3 linked regions of the Drosophila melanogaster genome follow. The protein of the gene in region 1 interacts with the protein of each later gene in a pairwise test. Each region holds a gene or a part of one and is shown in the gene's direction. Other genes may lie near its edges.

Evidence for each region. The genes of interacting proteins can lie anywhere in the genome.
Region 2: the proteins of CG42263 (region 1) and CG13784 interact in a two-hybrid assay, tested with the Drosophila melanogaster proteins (one large-scale study listed by BioGRID).
Region 3: the proteins of CG42263 (region 1) and CG30472 interact in a two-hybrid assay, tested with the Drosophila melanogaster proteins (one large-scale study listed by BioGRID).

Annotation. Positions count from the first base shown.
Region 1 is NT_037436.4:19,954,032-19,957,600, reverse strand, and holds CG42263 (uncharacterized protein), read left to right. Parts: upstream 1-1,801; 5' UTR 1,802-1,848; coding exon 1,849-1,993; intron 1,994-2,053; coding exon 2,054-2,148; intron 2,149-2,197; coding exon 2,198-2,354; intron 2,355-2,409; coding exon 2,410-2,501; 3' UTR 2,502-3,054; downstream 3,055-3,569. Other genes in the region: CG42654 (uncharacterized protein), read left to right, coding at 3,091-3,211, 3,274-3,309, 3,370-3,455, 3,507-3,569.
Region 2 is NT_033779.5:7,216,982-7,221,909, reverse strand, and holds the start of CG13784 (uncharacterized protein), read left to right. Parts: upstream 1-1,876; 5' UTR 1,877-2,050; exon of another isoform or gene 2,051-2,779; 5' UTR 2,780-2,798; coding exon 2,799-3,001; intron 3,002-3,056; coding exon of another isoform or gene 3,057-3,057; exon of another isoform or gene 3,058-3,259; intron 3,260-4,928. Other genes in the region: mEFG1 (mitochondrial translation elongation factor G 1), read left to right, coding at 1-769, 823-1,168, 1,233-1,377.
Region 3 is NT_033778.4:15,422,633-15,425,661, reverse strand, and holds CG30472 (uncharacterized protein), read left to right. Parts: upstream 1-1,522; 5' UTR 1,523-1,606; coding exon 1,607-1,978; intron 1,979-2,037; coding exon 2,038-2,161; intron 2,162-2,218; coding exon 2,219-2,361; 3' UTR 2,362-2,477; downstream 2,478-3,029. Other genes in the region: Stacl (Stac-like), read right to left, coding at 1,257-1,403, 2,567-2,692, 2,766-2,945.

The DNA of each region.
Region 1 (3,569 bases):
ATATGTTTGCCATAATAATATAAGTTGGTGAGAAACAATTAGTTCAATAATACAATAATAAAATACAATACATTTATTTATATTGTACATTTTTAAATTGCGGCAATGAAAGATTTTTCGCTTATACGAACGGACAGATAAACGGACAAAGCCAGATCGACTCGGCTAGTGATCCTAATCAAGAATATATTCCATTCAACCTGTTAAATAGTAAATACACTATCAACGAATATTCTTCTACTTTTAAATTAACGAACCAGGTGAATTTTGCTGTGGATCAAATAATTGGAACAGCAATTTCAAAAAACAATTCGTTTTTGGGTGTTTGAAACCTATTTCGAAGGTACACAGAAAAATCGAATGATTGCATTTTTATTTAAAATTATACCAAAATATAAAATTACATCTGTATGCCTTTATTTATTTTCTTTTATTTTTATACGGACTTCGCAATAATATGGCTAATTCCGTTTGATATTTAATGACCAGGATGGTAATGATTTTTTTTTTCTAAGTGCAGGGAGCTCAGTGGGGACGGTACGCTTTGTGGCGTGAATGGCGCCATCAAGAGGCAGCCAGGCGGTGCTCAACTGGCAGCTGAATAAACAGCATCAACAACAAGTGCAGGGAATGGGAGTGGGCTGGGATGGGGTTCTGGGGGTATGGACGGATGGTTGGATGGGGATGGGGATGGGGATGGGGATGGGACCAATGCTGAATACCGTCTCATCGACACTTTTTCATTGAATTCAATTAAAAGCGAAATTGAAAATTGAAATTCAATTAAGATGCTATAAATACGGCAGGGATGGGGTGCAAGGGTGTCAAGCGGGGCAGAGAGTATACAGGATACTGTGGAAGCATTCCGGGATAGAAAGGACTCGTGGCAATGATGATAGATGAGCTGCCAGTGGCTGCTGGAAGTGGATGAAAGAGATTCCATCGATCTGTGTATTGGCTGGGAGCTTCGAGCGGTGCTTATGATATGTGACATGTCCTTTTTTTGAACTTACTCTACTTTCTGTTTTTTTTTTTTCTTTCTCCCTGACATTTAATGGGGCATCAACACCAACATGTTGGTATTGATGACAAATAAATTGATGCTGCAATCAATCAAAAATAAATCAACCATATGGTGCACCAAGATAATCAAGTCTGGGAAACAATACACTAATCTGATTAGGCTCATTAGTAAACCACCATCTAATATTGTCTTATTAGGCTTCGTCTTCACATTTCCATGAAATATTGCCCTTGAGCCACCCAATCAATTCTTGTTTGGTAATAACATCTTTTTTAATTTATGGAATTTAAGCCCAATGCATTCCCTTTGCAACATATTTTGTCACTGTTTGAACTAAATTTAAATTAGTGAACTTTTGCCAACACAAATCCTCTTTAACACTTCAAGTAAGTCCATGATGCGAGCTATCTTTAATAATCCCAAACCCCAAGCCTCGGAAATCACCCCCTATTTTCCAGTCTATTGAAAACATAATTTTTAGACGGCTGCTGCTTTCAATTAACGCATTAGGCAAGGAAAAGGCAGCAGTTTCACTTTGCTCAGGGGATAATAATGAAGAAAAAAATAGAGACCAAGGGACTTTGTCTAACTTTTCCGAAAGGCTAAAGTTTCCGTGGGAGGTCGAGGTCGTTCGAAACTTTGTTGAAAATGACAGAAGACTGCAGTGACCTAAAACCAGAGGAGATGCAGCAATTCAGTTTCGCCAGCTGATGGAAAGAAAGTTGAAGTTTATGGAGTTTAAAAGTTGAAAGCGGTTGGCATTATTTGTCAAACATGGAACTGTATTTTCTAAAATTTATAGCAACGTATTTTTCCTATTTTTGATGCCATTTTTAAGAAAGCTGGTCAGACAAGAATTTTGCTTTTGCATCTCGCTGACTTCTGGATGCATCATAGTTTCATTCTACACACTGTTTTTCGGATTCCTTAACGCAGGCACTACTGTGGATGAGGTTATATACAAGAACAGTGAGTTGGAAAAGTAAGGAAACCTGAATTTTAAGAACAGCATCTAAACCCAAATACCAGCACTCAAGACTGATGTTTATGCGAAATGGTTCAATGTATTTCATATAGCTCTGATGATCGCAGCTGCAGTTATCCTGCTGATATCTGTTATGACGGTAAGAAAATCACTTCCAATATTTTTAATTCTAATAAAATTCCTTTTAGAAGTACTTAAGGATCGTTTTCGTGTGGATGGCCATGTTCATCATTCATATGATATCGTACTACATCATCTTCAATGCTTTGATAAATGTTCGCAATCCGTTCTTTAAAAGTGCTGTCTCTGCGATTATTTATGTTTTCGTGAATTTAGTGACGTTGGGTAAACATATATATTAAAAATCTCTATTCTCGTAAGTTATGCTCCAGCTTTTCAGGAATCGATTTATTTTGTTTGCTCAAAGTCTACACGTATTATTATGTAAAAGCGCATCCAGATGAATTCAGACCAGTTTGTGTGGATAAATGAGAGGATGTCCTTAAAAATTAAATTGAGATCAGCGAAATTGATTTTTAAGATGATGAAAAGCAATAGCATTTCGTGCTCTTTACCCCATGCTCATCAAGTGAGAGGATGATGCTTTTACTGTGCTAATATGGCAGACTCAATTTTCTTTATAATTTCATTAGCATCTTGATGAGAACTGAAAACGATTCCACGCGTGCCTGACAAACACGACACACATCGGGCTGGAAATTCTAGGCTAATGCTAATGAGGCCATAATACAGATTGCTTAAGTTGTAATTATGCAAAAAAGTTAATACCACAATAAAGAAGATATGGCGGAAAATGTGAAGGCAATTTCGTTTAAATTTGGCGCCATCATCTGGGCGAGCTAAACATGAGTATTTGCTTAAAAGTTTTGCAATGTACATAAATTACGTATACGACTTGTGGTTCATAAACAAATCTTGTACATTGAAATTAACAAAGAATTGTTTTGATAATTTAAAATATACGTATAATTTTTTAACATTCAGGCTTAAAAGAAATTCTAAAAATAAAAATATTTTGCAGAATATCTTATTTGCATTTCCTGTCAAAACGTCTGAAATTATGATTCTGGCTAAAAAATTTTGCTTCTGTATATCCTTGCAAATGGGATGTATACTGATTGCATTGGCTGGAATTTTTTTGGCTGGCATGAACATTGACTATATGCTCCTTTGTTTAAATAGTAAATATATATTCACATTGGCATTAGTATTATTTTTTGCATTAAATTTAATGTTTTGATAGGAACCTATTTCAGAGAAATGCAGCACAAATTCCCAGGTAATTTAGTGACTAAGCAGTTCCAATGATTCCATTTGATAATCTAGTTTTATTACCCAGAACAAGCTCTCTACACTGTGATACAAATGTCTCCCGATTTGTTAACTATCTTGGCATCGTTCATGCTAATATTTGCAGTCTTATCGGTATGTATATAATATAATTAAAGATGGTTTTTACAAAATATATGTATTTAGCAATATGGTTGGCTGTTTTGGACAACTCTATTCTTTCAAGCATTTCAGGCAGTCTTCTTTCTT
Region 2 (4,928 bases), on another chromosome or scaffold:
AAGGAAGGACAAGACCCAGAAAAAGTAGTCTTAAATCCCGCCCGCGATGGCAAGGATCCCTTTGTTGGCTTGGCGTTCAAGCTGGAAGCTGGTCGCTTTGGCCAACTAACCTACCTCAGATGCTACCAAGGTGTCCTACGGAAGGGTGACAACATCTTCAATGCCCGCACCAACAAGAAAGTGAGAATTGCTCGCTTGGTTCGATTGCACTCAAATCAAATGGAGGATGTAAACGAGGTGTATGCCGGCGATATATTTGCGCTTTTCGGAGTTGATTGCGCCTCCGGAGACACTTTCACCACCAATCCCAAGAACAATCTGTCTATGGAATCCATCTTTGTACCCGAGCCCGTGGTCTCAATGGCCATTAAGCCAAATAATACCAAGGATAGGGATAATTTCTCGAAGGCTATTGCGAGATTCACCAAAGAGGATCCCACATTCCACTTCTTTTTCGACAACGATGTAAAGGAAACTCTTGTCTCGGGAATGGGTGAACTGCATTTGGAGATCTATGCCCAGAGAATGGAGAGGGAATACGGTTGCCCAGTGACGCTGGGAAAGCCAAAAGTAGCATTTAGGGAAACCCTGGTGGGACCGTGTGAGTTTGATTACCTGCACAAGAAACAATCGGGAGGATCGGGTCAATATGCCAGGATTATTGGAGTCATGGAACCACTACCGCCGAACCAAAACACCCTGCTGGAATTCGTGGACGAAACAGTGGGCACCAATGTACCAAAACAATTTGTTCCTGGAGTCGAAAAGGGTAACTAAAATTACATTCCTCAATGTTCTGATTTTAATATTTTATTTGCTTAGGTTACAGAGAAATGGCTGAGAAGGGAATGCTCTCCGGTCACAAGTTGTCCGGCATTCGATTCCGCCTGCAAGATGGTGGTCACCACATCGTGGACTCCAGCGAGCTCGCCTTCATGTTGGCTGCCCATGGTGCCATCAAAGAGGTCTTCCAGAACGGCAGCTGGCAAATCCTAGAGCCCATTATGCTGGTCGAGGTCACTGCACCCGAGGAATTCCAGGGTGCTGTAATGGGTCACTTGAGCAAACGGCATGGTATCATCACCGGAACTGAGGGAACCGAGGGTTGGTTCACTGTCTACGCGGAGGTACCGCTGAACGACATGTTTGGCTATGCGGGAGAGCTGAGGTAATCTTCAGTACACATTGGAAACGTTGAATTGTATCTAAATATATCTCATCTTTATTTACAGATCGAGTACCCAGGGAAAGGGTGAATTCACCATGGAGTACTCCAGGTACTCGCCTTGTCTCCCAGATGTCCAGGATCAGATCGTCCGGCAATACCAGGAGTCGCAAGGATTGGCCCAACCCGACAAGAAGAAAAAGAAGAACTAGGTTTTAACTTAATCTATTTTTAATTACCATCTCTATCAAATCGAAATGTTATTGTGTCACCCCTATTTTTGCTTAGTTAAATTTTATTTCATACAACAATTTTCAGTTTTCACTGTGATAAATGCGAAGTGTACAGTTATTTGTATAATAAAACAAGATTCAACAAAAATCGGTATACTTAATTAATCACAGCTTGTTGATATCAGTTGAATTTTTCGTCTTATTTTTCTTTGAAAATGAAATATATATATAAATTAATACAAATAACTCATTTATATTTGAAACGCTTTTGTTGGAGGCGCACATACTATTTTGTACCTATATAACACTAGGTACGGAAATAGGTACCGATTGGTACTCCGCGGTACTTAGTCATCTTACCGTTAAACAGGTCGAAAACGAGTATAACAAAAATATCGAATAATAATGTCAGATGCGTTAGGGAATGTGAGTTTCAGGATTTCGCTGACTGGTAACACTAGCCACAAAACTTGTGTACGTTTGTTTGTGTTGTTGTTTTCGCTTGCGTGCGGTTGATCCGCGGACAGTTTTTCCGCAAACTCGCAGAGGAAATGCAAACTGTGGCGAGGTGAAAGGAAAACTGACCACCGAAAGTGCGAAGAAGAACGAAAATTGAAACAACAGCAAGCGACAGCAATTAGCGAATGAATAAGTACGATTTTCCGGAACAATAATAATAGCAACAACAGCAACAACAACAACGGCTGCAGCCACAACAAAAATTTAACTCAATTAACGGAAAAGGCAAACGGGGGAAAATGCAATTGAAATGCCGAGAGCATTTATGAAGTGTGCTGATGTGTTTGCGTAGAAATGGAGCGATTTGTGATTGCAGCGCTTTGCTCGTCTAGTGTTTTCCGCTGCCAGAAAAGTGTGCGCAGGAAAATCGGTGACGATTCGTGAAAAAAGGGGCATAGAAAATTCGGTGAAAATTCAATACAAAAAAAACGCGGAAAACGAAAACACAGGAAAAATTAAAAGAGCGACAAAGAGTGAGAGCGTGCGAGAGCAATAGGGAAATAGAAAATAAATATCTTCGCTGCCTGCGTGTGGGTGTGCGTCAGTGTGTGTGTGTGTGTGTGCAAAAGTAGAAGATCAAAGCGAAACGACGAAAAACAAGCACAGCAACAACAACACACAGCTGACTTCCTTTCTTTCCTTCCTGCATTACACTGTTCAACAAACAATAGTTATAACCGCAAACGATGCGAAATCCAGTAACTACAACAACGACTACTTCCAATCGCCGGCTTTTAAACTAGTCAAAAAATCAAATCAATAACATAAACTACACATATCCGCTAAACGACAAAACCTAAAACGAAAAATAAATTTCAAAACACAAAGTAAACGAATAAACTAAATATAACCAAATTTCCAGTAAACAGAGATAGCTCACAATGGATTGGATCATCAATGATGAGATGGGCCTGACGGTCGGTCACGTGGTGGGCTGGGCCGCCGCCTCCGCAATGGTTATTGGGGGCGTGATCCCCTACGTGCCCCAATACATTGAGATCAAGAAGACGCAGGACGCGGAGGGATTCTCTCTGTACGTGTGCCTGGCGCTGCTGGTGGCCAACTCGCTGAGAATACTCTTCTGGTAAGACTTAACTTGTACGCTAATCAAAAATAACTAAATTTGTAATCGAAAATAGATACTGGAATACTAGATACATAATAGATACCTAGGAAACTAAAACATTACTAGCATCCGTACGAAACTAATTAAATTCATTACCTAATGCTCCATAATGTTAACAAAAGTGCTTAAATGTGAAAGCTCAAAATTTTGCAAGTAATTATGACGATTTCATATCCAAATATGCCATTTTTGAGCAATAAATCAATCATGAAAGGCAAAACGAACTTTTATTGCACGCGCTTATTTTTCTTTTTGACTGTACAGCACTCGAAAATAACACAAATCACTTTTGAACGCTGCGTATTCAAATGAAAATAAACACCTGCAAATTCTCTCTCGTTTTTTTTCTTTTGATTTGGGTTGAGAATACAATTGAAATACATCATAATTCTTTAAAAAAAAAATCTCTAGAAAATTACTGATATGGCACTTCCTTGTCTTTAAAATCTACCTAAAAACTTACTTTAGAAACATGCTATTATATCTACATATATATACAGAAAGATCTCTTTCGCAGTAGTTTCGAATCCTCTGGCACCCCTGCGGTGAAAACGTCAGGTACCTGAACCTCTCTAAGTAAACCCCTGTCCACTTTTATCTCACCCACATTGGGATGACTAAACCCACTCGGCAAATACCTGGTATGGTATTACGGCTTATCTGGGTGGGCAATTCAAACCGCTTATCACGCGAAATTCTCTCATGGTCCGACGCGACAATTTACGGTTTGGAGCACTTGAGACCAAAACCCCTTCCTATCTGTTAGCTATGTCATGATTTCTGGTCGATTTTGCTCACCATAGTCGATAGACGACTTCCACAATTTGGACGAAGGACCAGCGTACTGGTTTTATCTTTATTGTACTCCCAGCGGTATTTAGGTATTCGGCACAATGCACAATGTCGTCGATAATCGCTATTTTCGCTGGGGTTTAGGACACTTGATGGAAGATTTATCAGCTTTCATGCTGAACTAATGTTTTGTGGGATGTTTGATAAGATTGTTACACTCAACTCAATACAAGCGCAACTATAGTTTATAAGAAGTCAAAAAAAACTATTTCGTAATATACGAAATTCAGTCGTTTTTGGGAATATTTAGGTGACTTAAAAATGTTGACAGTCTGAACTTTCGTTTCTGGAATGGTTTCATCCAGCTGCCCTGGATTGTTGATTCATCTTTTTGCAGAGCGAAACATATAAATCAAAATTAATAAAGTAAATTTTTAATTCAATTTGAATGAGTGTGCAAAGTAGCTTTCAAAATGTGACAATGCCATTGAAACCAGTTGAAACTGACACAGAGCCAACAAACAAAAAGATATAATTGAATTTGCGCTATTGTTTATTCAGAACGTATTTTCATATTTAGTTCAAAATATATATTTGCCATATGGAATAAACGGAATAAACGGATTTTTAGGCCAGCTACTTCTCGACTGGCCTTTAACAACAGGGTCAACTACTTTTGTCCAGCTGGTTTCTGTGTATTTTTCAGGTTGTTTAGCCCGTTTAAAGCTGCTGCTATTGTGGTTTTTCGAGACCCATCGCTTCCTACTAATAATTTATTAACAAGCCAAGTGAAACGTGAACGCAAAAACAAAAAAAGAATAGGAGCAACTGGTGGCCCTCATCGACGCCGTCAATTTGTCTGGCCTGGGTGGCAATCAATAAATAAATTATTTAGCTGGAAACTGTTGCCGGCGAGCAAAGTTGAATCAGCTGGGCAACGAGGCTTTGAGCCGAATAATCCCAATACAATATGTATACGTTATATATAGATGTTTACGATTCCTTGTGGCCAGACATTTTTTTTCCAGACACGCGATCAGTTTCAGTTGGGTTTTATGAATAAAGTCAGTCAGTCTGGAGGCTAAGTAATAGT
Region 3 (3,029 bases), on another chromosome or scaffold:
GCACTCAATTCAATTTATCTTGTGTGTGGCTATCAAAATAGAGAACAACTCGCCTAGAAAAGCCTGCCCTGAACTGCGCTCTAAAATTATGCATATATATTAGGAGGATATATATATATATATGAATGGTGTCTGTTTTCGGGATATATATATATTAATATATTTCAATTTTATTTGGATTTAAGGTTTGTGTTTCGTTTGCATTGGTTTCTTAGCTAGCCCCTCCAATTGCGCGATTGGCAGCCAATCGCACCTCAGTCGCGACGAAAAACGACGACGACGGCGCGTTTACGGATACGGATACGGCTGCGGAAGTACGGCTACGGCTACGGCTACGGCACTACGGCTACGGCTAATTTGTCGAACGGATCACCCAAGAGCGGAGCTGGCGAGCCGCGTTACGTATACGTCGAAGTGCAAGCACGTGACTGACTCGGAGCGACCGTTGCACGCTGCTTTTATAAACAGCTACATCGGGAGATGGCTCGAATGTCTGGCAACGCTTCGCATGCAATTTTCCGCGCGCGCTCTCTCTCTCTCTCTCTCTCTCACTCTCTGTCTCTCTCTTGCTCTCTCTGAAGTGACTTTTCCGAGCCCTGTTCGGCAACAGCTGATTCACTTGCAGGCCCAGAGGTTGAGGTTACAGTCAAAAGCCTGATGGTTTTTCCCAAACTCCCACGCAGTAATAGTTTGTCACACCAGAAAACACAGAAAATCGCACAGCACACGGTGTAATTTTGACTGAGTAACTCTCTTGTGAGGACCGCAAAAAAAAAACAGGGACCTAGCAAATGCAGGACAAAATCAAGCCAAACAGCCGCACTGACCACGCACAAGCTAATCTACCGCAGGACTAAGCGAAAGGCGAAGGACGAACCTGACCCACAGTTGGCTCCTGCTGGCGGCTTTCAGTGCTCCAAAAAGCGAGGGAGATGGCGAAACGCTTGGGTCACATGCGCAGTCGCCAATCAGCTGTTTGACCTACATACGAGCGCCAGTTCATCTGTACTTTCAAGCGTGCAAACGGGGGGCGTGTCGGGCGTCCCGACCCCGCCTAATGGAACTCATTAGATCTCGGCCATGAAAAGTTCACCCAAAAAGCTGTCAGCAACAGGTCTGTGGAAAGCTAAGTGAAAGCTTTTCCATGGCATAAACTTAACTTCGAAGTGGTTTCTTTTGCTGCTTTTCCAGCTTTATCGTGGTATATTTTCCCGCTAAACTTTATAGCTTTTCACCCCGACTAAATCGAAACTCACCTGAGCCCTTATGGCCGCCAAATGGATCTGCTTGGCTCGCAGGTCGAACTTCTTCATGGACAAATCTTCTTGAAGCTCATTGACCTTGTTGTACAGCTGACCCTCGATTCCACGGGTCTGCGTTCGATTTAGAGCCTCGATGGAGTCCTACGAGAGGAAAAGTAACCAGTCAAATTGATTATTTAAATAAATATTTTTGTAATAGATCTTGTAAAAGTTTACAATTTTTAAGAATAAAATGTATTTGTAATATTATAGATCTACTTGTAAAAGAAGGCTAGTTAAAAGCTTTCATAGGCAATACCCCAAATAACATATATTTAACTATCATTAAAAGCAATTTCCTGAAAATGTCTTCTAATGAGAATTGCCAAGGAAATCGCCGCATTTCGGAAAATCAGCATTGGAACAACATAAGGCTCAATTGTAAGGCCCTCCCAAGATTGAAGAGCTTCTTCTACTTTTTCGATTTGGAAAAAGGATGCAGGATTATAGCGGGCTTTGAGGCTTTGGTGAGCGTAATACAGATATTCAGTATATATCGTTTATCCAATCAATCAGTGCCAAGTTATATGATACCTGATCCCTTTTGGATCACAAAAATCGATAGGGAAGGAATAATCAAAAGAATGTTGCTTTATCATACAAGTAATCGTTTTTGCATGGGACTCGGATTGGTTACTGTTCTCAATTCTCTGCTGTTGCTAATTGGAAGCAAATGGGTGAGAGTCAACAGATGGTATTCGAATATAAAGGCTAATACCCATACTTTTTCGTCAAGGGCCACCAGGTTTGCCTCTTTCTTTGGATTTATATAACGGTATTCACCACTCTCATATCGAATATAAATAATAACTTAAGGAACCCAAATTTTGCACAAACTTTTCTAATAGTTCCATCATTGAGTAAGTGCCAAAACGTGAAGTCATTGCAAAAAAAATAAACAATATAACCTCTAACAGCTCTGGAGGGCTATTTCACATTGATAGTCGCATCTTTAATTTGTAAATTCCAAGACAAGCAAGATGAGTGTAACTCATACACCGAAATGCACACTTCAGATGGCAAAGAGTGCAGTTCTATCGAGAATACCGAACAGATATAAGCGGTTTTTTAATTGTATGACTTTACATAGTTTTTTGTGAAAGTTAAAGGATAACAGAAAAAAAAAACAATTGTGATATTGGCCACCCATTCAAATAAAATCTTTGGAAACATAACAAACCATTTTTTTTAAGTACCGACATGGCTGCGATATCGTACTGTGAGCTTTTATCATTTTGTGTATTATTGTGGATTATTCATCTCACCTGCAGCTGACGTATTTGCAATTCCAATTCGATGGCCTCCCGCTTCAGCGACTCCAACGCGGAGCGTTGTGACAGTGTGGAGTGCCGGTCGAAGACCAACTCGTTCCGCAGGCAGGGCGTCATCTCCTGCGGCGGACAGGTGCCCACAAAAACAATCACTTTAGTCCGCCGGACAGGTGTTATATGCACTACTACTCACGTTGTGGTCGCCCGCCTCCTCGCCGACCTCTGCTTGCGGCGATGCAAAGAGCCGTCTGGGAATCTTCTGGGCCTGCGATGGTTGGGCCAGGAGCCGGACGAAGTTCACTAGATCCTGTTGAGGTGAGACAGCTGCGCACTGGTTGCTCAGACTGTTGTACCGCTTAGCTTGGTCATTGGCCTGCGGAAAAATTATGATTTGGACACATTATTGACACAGATGTTTTGGTTTCCCTTAAACTGCAGTTGCATGGAGACTTAACTT